Canis lupus familiaris: one gene and its partner. The protein of the gene in region 1 purifies or fractionates together with the protein of each later gene. This does not show direct contact. Links are inferred from orthologs where the notes say so. Each region holds a gene or a part of one and is shown on either strand. Other genes may lie near its edges. The genes, in order: gamma-tubulin complex component 2 and MZT1.

What was found.
Region 2: the proteins of gamma-tubulin complex component 2 (region 1) and MZT1 purify together in Homo sapiens (affinity purification with mass spectrometry; 4 studies listed by BioGRID and IntAct, counting the BioPlex papers as one, with this or other methods). This does not show direct contact. The link is inferred for Canis lupus familiaris from reciprocal best matches to the Homo sapiens genes TUBGCP2 and MZT1.

Annotation. Positions count from the first base shown.
Region 1 is NC_049249.1:41,386,577-41,390,379, forward strand, and holds part of gamma-tubulin complex component 2, read right to left. Parts: intron 3,020-3,803; coding exon 2,860-3,019; intron 812-2,859; coding exon 604-811; intron 107-603; coding exon 1-106. UniProt on the Homo sapiens protein: Component of the gamma-tubulin ring complex (gTuRC) which mediates microtubule nucleation.
Region 2 is NC_049243.1:26,981,533-26,985,857, forward strand, and holds the start of MZT1 (mitotic-spindle organizing protein 1), read right to left. Parts: upstream 2,979-4,325; 5' UTR 2,862-2,978; coding exon 2,786-2,861; intron 2,750-2,785; coding exon of another isoform or gene 2,612-2,749; exon of another isoform or gene 2,586-2,611; intron 1-2,585. Other genes in the region: BORA (protein aurora borealis), read left to right, coding at 2,612-2,749, 4,237-4,325. UniProt on the Homo sapiens protein: Required for the recruitment and the assembly of the gamma-tubulin ring complex (gTuRC) at the centrosome.

The DNA of each region.
Region 1 (3,803 bases):
CAGCTGCGTGACCAGGATGAGGTACTCCTTCACCAGGGTTCTCATGGCGGCCGCCAAGGCATGGTTCACCTGTCCGTATTCGAAGGAAGACTTTTCTTCGATGAACCTGGGAGAAACGGAGCACCGGGGTCCTGTGAGCACGGGAATCTACATTTTCAAATCAGAAATCAGATGTTCCTTTTGGTTTCTTTAAAGATTCTATTTATTTATCTGGGGGAGGAGAGAGCATGAGCTGGGGAGGGGGCGGGGCAGAGGGAGAGGCAGACACCCCGCTGAGCAGGGAGCGCGACCCGGGGCTCGATCTCAGGAGCCCGAGATCACGACCTGAGTGGAAATCAAGGGCTGGACAGTCGGCGCTCCGAGGTCAGATGTTCGGAGTCCCCTCCCCACTCAAGGTCTTCTCCCTGAAGGGAACCCGTAGACACCAGCCCCTGCACTGGTCCCAGGCCCTTCAAAACCATGTCGGGTGTGAAAGCAGGTCACAAGACACGGATGCTCTCCGGATGAGGACTCGAACGAGCTTACAGACACAAAGTGCAAGCTGCGGGGGTCAAGAGCACTGGGAAGGCCGGTGTCCAGCCGCAGGTCCCGTCGGGCACCCACCTGGTCACCGTGGAGTAACTGGCAGCCACCGGGAGGATCCTGTTCACCAGCTCCCTGATGGACAGGTCGAGGTTGGGATCCACGAGGAAGGTGCGGCTCTGCCTCCCGGTGAGGGGCTGGGCGGTGATGTACCTGCCGTCCACACCCACCAGCACGTAGAGCAGGTCCTCCACCACGGCCGACTCCTGGGAGGCCAGGGGCAGCGTGCCTGTGGGCCGCAGACATCAGCCGGGCCGTGGCCCCACCTGCAGGGCCCCCCACTCCCGCTGACCTAATCTACCCAGTCACGTCCCCGCTGGTTTCTCTCTGTTAGTCCCTCAAATAGTCACGGGTGCGAGCATCGGGCTGCTCCCTGGGATCTGAGTCCTCCCAGTGAGGTCCCCAAGGCTGGGATTCCAGAAGCACCACGAGCACAGGGCAGGCGGAGCCGGGGCTGCGCCACAGCCTAACGCACCAGGGACGTGAAACCCCCTAGACACAAACGAAGGCTTGGCTGTTAAAGGATGAAGTAGGGAACTGAAGGAGAGCTGCTGACACACGCTGTCCTTACGGCACCGGTTACGACTTCGGGTCTGGGCCGCTGAGGGACATGAAGACTTTCCTTAAAGTCTTCCAGCACGCCTGCACCGCAGGAGGCGCTTTCCTACAACCACCCAATCAAGGACAGTCACACGCCACCAACCAGGACCACCGCCAAATGCCTCCTGGCCCAGGCAGCTCCCTGTCCCTCTTGTTGCACGGCCCCAGGACAACGCTCGCCCTCCTCCCCAACGCCTGCTGGGACAGACCACCACACAGCCCCGCTTTGCGCAGCTGGCCCCACGGCACCCGAGAACCGGGGCTGGCAGCCCAGGATGGTGCTGCCCCGCACGTGCACGTGCCAGTTCACAGAAGCACTGCTGGCGTCACACACCTGCACACCGGCCTGCCGAGGTCACAGGCCCTGAGCACACCAGCCACCTGTCCGTGTGGCCGGATCACGTGGCATTCAGAGCCACACTGACTTCAAGCTCCATTTTCTCTCTGCAAGTGCGAAGGCCATCAGGACTGTCCTACTCACAGCTCCCACGGGGGCCCCAAGGATCGGCCTCCGGCTTCTCAAGCACAGGCGTGCCTTCCAGGACCCGCCGCCAACCCTCGCCACCACTCACTCGAAAGCCGAGCACCACCCCAGTCAGAGCCCCCAGAGCACTCGGTGGGGGGGTGGGGGGGGCAAGAGGTGCAGCACGGGGTCGGCTGCTCCTGGGTGGGAACCTTGGCTTCAGGGGCAGATGCCCCGCTGCCCCCCAGGGCCCCGCCCACCCACGGAAAAGGACGACACTGCAAGCTATGCCAGCAAGAGGCCGGCCGAGAGGAACCGCTGCGGTGGCACAGGCAGCCTGGAGCCTGAGCTCTGAAGGGACAGGGACAGCCAGGAGGAGGGGATACAGTACGGGACGTGTGGCCAGGAGGCCAATCCACCAGCGTCTCTGCGGCTCACCAGGGTCTGGGGAGTCCAGAGAGGCTACGCGGGGCACAGGCCTGAGGCTCAGGGCCGCTAGCTCTGGGATGATGGGCAGCCACAGGGCGGCAAGGCAGGATGTGAGGCTCCACAGCTCCGGCCGCCTGCACCAACGGAAAGAAAGCTAAACACCCAATCCTCAGCCACGCCAGTGGCATCTCAATGCCCGCTGCCAACATTCAGCTGCCGGCCCCATACGAGGTAGGGCAGATCCAGAACATTCTCTAACAGAGAGGTGGGAAGTGGTGAGCCGCAAGGCAGTGAGAGCAGGACAGTGTCTGGACAGGAGGGGCAGATGGAGGTGGGGGACCTGGGACCGGGCTGGTGCAGCGGGAAGGAAGCAAACGCAGGCGCCCACCCCAGCTCCAGGACCCGATGAACTGTGACAGGAGTCACCACACAAAAGGTGGAGACACTAGAGGGAAGGTCGGGAGCCCCACCAAAGACAACAGGCAGATGGCCACATGAGACCCAATTCAGGGAGGTGTCCCGAGGGCAGAGATCCAGGAATGGGGGGGGGGTATGATTCCTTAAAATAAACAAGACCTCCCTGAAGAGGGAAACTGGCAAGGAAGACCCGGGAGCCAGCCCCGAGAGTCCCTGTAGAAAAGAATGTGGGGGAGGGGAGGAGAGACAGGACTATCCAGGCGCAGCAAGGACATAAGAGCCGGCACCACCGAGACCCAGCACTCAGGGAGGACAGGGCCCGCGCTGCTCAAAGGCGCCCGGGTGGTAGAAACGAACACACCACATACCTATGGGCACAGCCGAGTCCGTGCTTACGCCCGAGCCAGTCAGGAAATCCCCAACCAGTGTGGGTCTCTCGTATACCCAGGGCGGGAAGACGGGGAGGCGCTGGCCTGAATTTTTTTTGTTCTGCTTATCTCGAAGCAACTTTCTTGTAAGTTCCAGAGACTGGTGAGGATGTTTTAAAAAATAAAGAGAAACGTACTGTTAGTACAAATACTTAGAGCTGACGTCTGTGACACTAGAAAAGTCAATCCCTGAATCACTCAGCAGGAGGGTTCAATAGACACGTGAAGAAATGAAGTGAGGGTCTCCATGCCCATCATGGCACAAGGCGCTGAGGACCAGACAGGGACCTGTCATCAGGGGCTCAGTCTGTGCGGAACCCACAGGCCAACCAGGAGCACCAGCAAAGGACTGCACCCTTCTGGGGAGCACCTACAGACTCAACTGCTTTCCCCTGGTGGCATGAAATCTAGACGTCACCTGAGCAGTGAAGATGAGGCCCCTGTGACAGCCAGCTAGAGAAGGGGGCCCCTACCTGGGTCCCCCAGGGCAGGGGAAGGCCAGCTCTGCACGTGCCCAGAGCAGAGGCCCTCCTGTGGGACCAGCCACCAAAAGCTGACCGGGGCAGTCATAGGGGCCAGACTTTTAGAAGCACCAGGGTCAAGGGTGGCCAGCAAGAGGGCAGGTGCCAACTATCTTGTCATCTGTCACAAGGGACAGCAGTGAGAGGACACATAAGGTGCCGATGTGTCAGAGCCACTGAACTCGAGCACAGGCTCCAGTGACACCCTCATGGGTGTCAGCTCGGAGGGGCCCACGAGGCCACAGAGGCACCACCACGGGAAGGCACAGACCAGGGCGGGACAAGAACCAAGAGCAGAATAAAGCAATACCCGTAACAGACAGAAAAAGGCACACAAAAAATTATAAGCTATAGTTCTACAAA
Region 2 (4,325 bases), on another chromosome or scaffold:
CCAACCTGGGGCCTTTTTATCTTGAGGTTTGTGGACTAACTGTATATGAAGGAGCAGTGTTCTCTAAGTCATAGAGCCTCTCAATTTTTATTTTTTAAAAAATCTGTATTTCTTCACTTTTTCCTGTTCTTTCACTCTCAATAATCTTCATTTTACACACACTCCTCCCAGTAAAAATATTGATGACACAACCAATAGTCAGTTCTCATTTGTACATCAATAGTTCCACCAGTGATAAACTGGGAGTTCTCCATTCAAACAGGATTTTGCGGCCGTATAAATGAGGAACCTAGGTATAGCCATCATAAGAAAATTGACAGAAGTGGGGCCTCATACTCTATTCTTTAAAAGACCCACCGGCTTCCAAGCAAAGATGTAAGACAATATAACCATCGCTCACTTTTTGAAAGTTTGTCTTATTTCACTTTGCTTTTATGGAAGCCATACATTAGTAGCTATTTTTGCTAACCAAAAGAAATCCAATAAATTTTTGCTTTTATGAAAATAGGCAAAAAGTGAAAATAGTGTTGAGTGTTTGTTTACGATAAGCCATTAGAGCCAGCACATAACCCCAGCATTTAGTGTTTGTTACTGCCAAGCTCCTTCCCCAGGAACTAAACTCAATCTCTTGCCATTAAGCTCCCAGACCCTTAAACTAGTGTCTGGGGGCATCTGTGCTTTATCTCTATTTATTTTGTGCATCTGTTAACAAGATGTATCCTAGGGCATCAAAAAACCCTAAGAAAGGTTATTTTTTGGGGTCTGAGAATGCTCAAAAAAATTTCCAATTCGTATTGGCTCTTCACTTTACATAATTTCAGCTTAGGAAACGTTTCATGGGACCAGTCTGCTTCCAGATAGCTGGGGAAACCTATAATGTGGTACACTGAGAAAGAATGGGAAATAGGCTGAATACGATGTTAATAAAATTCTGGGGTGCCTGGTAGTTCAGTGGGTTGAGCATCCAACTCCTGATTTCAGCTCAAGGTTGATCTCAGGGTCATGGGATGGAGTAGAGCCTTGTTCCTCTCTCTCTCTGCCTCCACCTCTAAAATAAATAAAACCTTTAAAGAATAAAGTCTGTTTTCTTTTCAGAGAAACAGCAAAATAGATACTTGGTAAGTAAAAAGTTAGATGCAAATGTTCTAATGTACATAGTTCTTTGAAAAGGAAAGCAGAGCAACCCCAGTGGCTCAGCGGTTTAGCGCCACCTTCGGCCCGGGGCGTGATCCTGGAGACCCGGGATGGAGTCCTGCGTCGGGCTCCCTCCTTGGAGCCTGCTTCTCCCTCAGCCTGTGTCTCTGCCTCTCTCTCTCTCTTTCATGTATAAATAAATTTTAAAAACCTAAAAAAAAAAAGAATGCAAAGGAAAGCAGCAACCTGTGCAGAAAAAGCCAGAAATCTTACTGAAAGCCCTTTAAGGAGTGACTGTATCAGTAAGTGAAGCCGGCAGGGAGATTCAGCAGGAAGGCTGGCACAACTGAGAACTGCAAAGTTTCTTTCTTTCTTTCCTTTTTCTTTTTTTTAAAGATTTATTTATTTATTTGTTTATTTGAGAGAGAGAGAGAGAGGCAGAGACACAGGCAGAGGGAGAAGCAGGCTCCATGCAGGGAGCCCGATGTGGGGTTTGATCCCGGGACTCCAGGATCGCGCCCTGGGCCAAAGGCAGGCGCCAAATCGCTGAGCCACCCAGGTATCCCCCAGAGTTATGTTTCAATAGAGATGAAGACTCATGTTAGTAACCCCCCGGAAAAATGCAAAAAAAAAAAAAAGGGGGGGGGCAACATTCAACATCCATCAAACCCATGAGAGGATGCAATAAAATGGAGACAAAGGAGGAGTCCGCAAGTAGTGGGATGTACATGTAATACAACCCAAAGGTCATGGTAACTATTTTTTGCTTTATCGCCTCTGATACGCCTTTGCTTTGTGGTCTTAAATATTCACAAATACCTTTTAGGAGGAGGTGAACTCACTTTATAGAAAAGAAAGAAATGGGCTCAAAACGTCTACATAGCTTGCCCCCCCCCCCCCCCCCCCCCGGAAGGGGAGCACAGTGTCAGAACCGGCATTCATTCGAGGGTAGAGAACCTGACTCCAGGGCCCGTCGTCTTCCAGCACGTGCGCGCGGGCGTTCCACCCACGTGCCGCGGAAACAGGTAAAGCGGCGCACAGCCCCAGCCGCCGGCGGCACCTGCTCCTCGACGCCTCGGAGCGCTCCTGAGGGCGGGGCGCCTCGCCCGCTCGCCGCACAGTGAACAAGCGTCAGGGACAAAGGACATCGCGGTGACCAAACGCACAAGGCCGCTCTCCACACGGGGCTTGCAGTCTCGAGGGCTGCTCCCTCCGGCTCGGGCCTCTGAGGAAACGGCGCCCCGCCGCGGGTGGGGGGGGGGGGGCGGCGCCCGAAGCCGGCTCCGCGGGAAAGGCCGCCAGGAGCCCGCCGCAGCGTGAGGCGCGCGGGGAGCGGGTGCGGAGCGGGCGGCGCGCGTGAGGCGCGGGAGGCGCGTGGCGTGCGTGAGGCGCGGGGCGCGCGCGCCCGGCTGACGTGGCGGCTGGAACGCCGTGCGCGCGACACAGCACGCCGGAGCCCAGAGAGCGCTCTCGAAGGATGGCACCCTCGGCGCCACGGCCTCGGCGGATCCCCTGGGAGGATCCTCGAAGATGCCGACCGGGGCCGGAAGTGGACCTCAAGTCCTTCTTGGCTTCCCGCCGCCTGGGGGCCCTGGCTGGGGGAAACGGAGACAAGGTAAGGGGGGGGCGAGGGGGAGAAACGGGCACTCACCGTCCATGGTCTCCCTCACCGCGTTGAGGTTCGCCGCCGCTGCCGCCGCCGCCCCGGGGCCGCTGCTGCTCGCCATGGCGGAGGCCGAGGGAGGCGGGAGAAGGGCCTGACCCGGAACTGGAGCGCCGGCCTCTCTCCCGGGCAATCACACCACGCGTCCCCCGCTCACGCCGGGCAGGCTCCGCCCCTCGCGCTCGTCGCCGGCGTGAGGCTGCGTTGATTTAAATTTGGAGCCTCGTTACTCTGCGCGGAATGCGAAGCGGGGAGTTGCCGTTCGAATTTGCTACGCGGCCTCGATGCGATTGGTTGGTTCGCGGACGGCGGCGCGACGCGATTGGCCAGTCCCCCCACGGGGCCTGGGCGCTGGTTGGCCTAAGACAGCGCGGAAGCGGGGAGTTAAAGAGTCTATGCCTGTCGTGGGAGCTGGCCTGGCCCCCCGGGAGCGCCCTGGAGTCGCCTACTGGGGTGGCTTCCTTTTTTATACGCACCACTAGGTACGTTCTTTGTAGCCCCTGGCCTTTCCTCCTGTCTTGAGTTGGAGAGCTCCCTTTTCCTCCCTTGCCGACCCACCTGCCCGCTGTCCCCCGGGGGGAATGGGAGCAGCGAGGGAATAGGTGCGGAAGAGGGTGTGGGGGGGGGCGGCTGGGGGGGCGCCAAGCTGTGATCGCTTAGGACTGGGAGTGACACTGGCTGGAGTGTCCACCTCTGCTCTTCACCCCCGAGGAAGCCAGCTGCTTCGGCCTTCCAGAAGTGGATCCTTTCTCCCTAGTCGTGCCGACCCCCCTTTGACTGAAAGTAATGCAATCTTGCCTTCTACCCTGGACGTCTTAGCGCAAGGAGGATGTTTGAGGAGAGGCAACCAAAGGGCGGTTAGTCTCCTAGCCCTAATCAGCCGTGCTTTGGGGCTAAAGTGGAAGAAAGACACTCGTGCTTAAGCTTCCTTGTCTCGTATATATCTGCCTGCTGCAAATAATTGTGGCTTAGCAGCTGTCGTTTGATAGGCAATTGCTGGGATATCCGAAGTATGTTAAGTGTTTGGAGACTTGAAATAAGGAATAAAGAAACTATAGGTTTTAGTTGGAACTATAGCCTTTTAGTTGGAAAGAGTTTTGTGCCTCTTGTGCCTCTTCGTTGCTTCGAAAGCGGACCTGAACTCATTCATATGCGGTTGACTGCTACTTTTGTGCTTCTTAGCTTCTCTGAGTTTAAATCTTCTGCAAAATGATATCCCTAATCATATCCCGTACCTCTCTAGTCCTCAAGGTTATTTCGAGGATCACTTTAGAAAATGTATGTGATGCCTTTTGTAAACTATAAACAACCCAAGAGCATTAGATTTTGAGTTCTTTATGCAAAATGTTTGTTGAATACATTTTAGTTGTCAAAATGAATGTGGAATGTGCCAGTTTTATTGTTCATAATGCCTTTTTTTTTTTTTTTTTTTTTTTTAGTTTTCTCTCTGTGCTATGGGAGATGTCAAAGAATCAGGAATGCAGATAACACCGGAAACTCCAGGAAGGGTCCCAGTTCTGAATCCTTT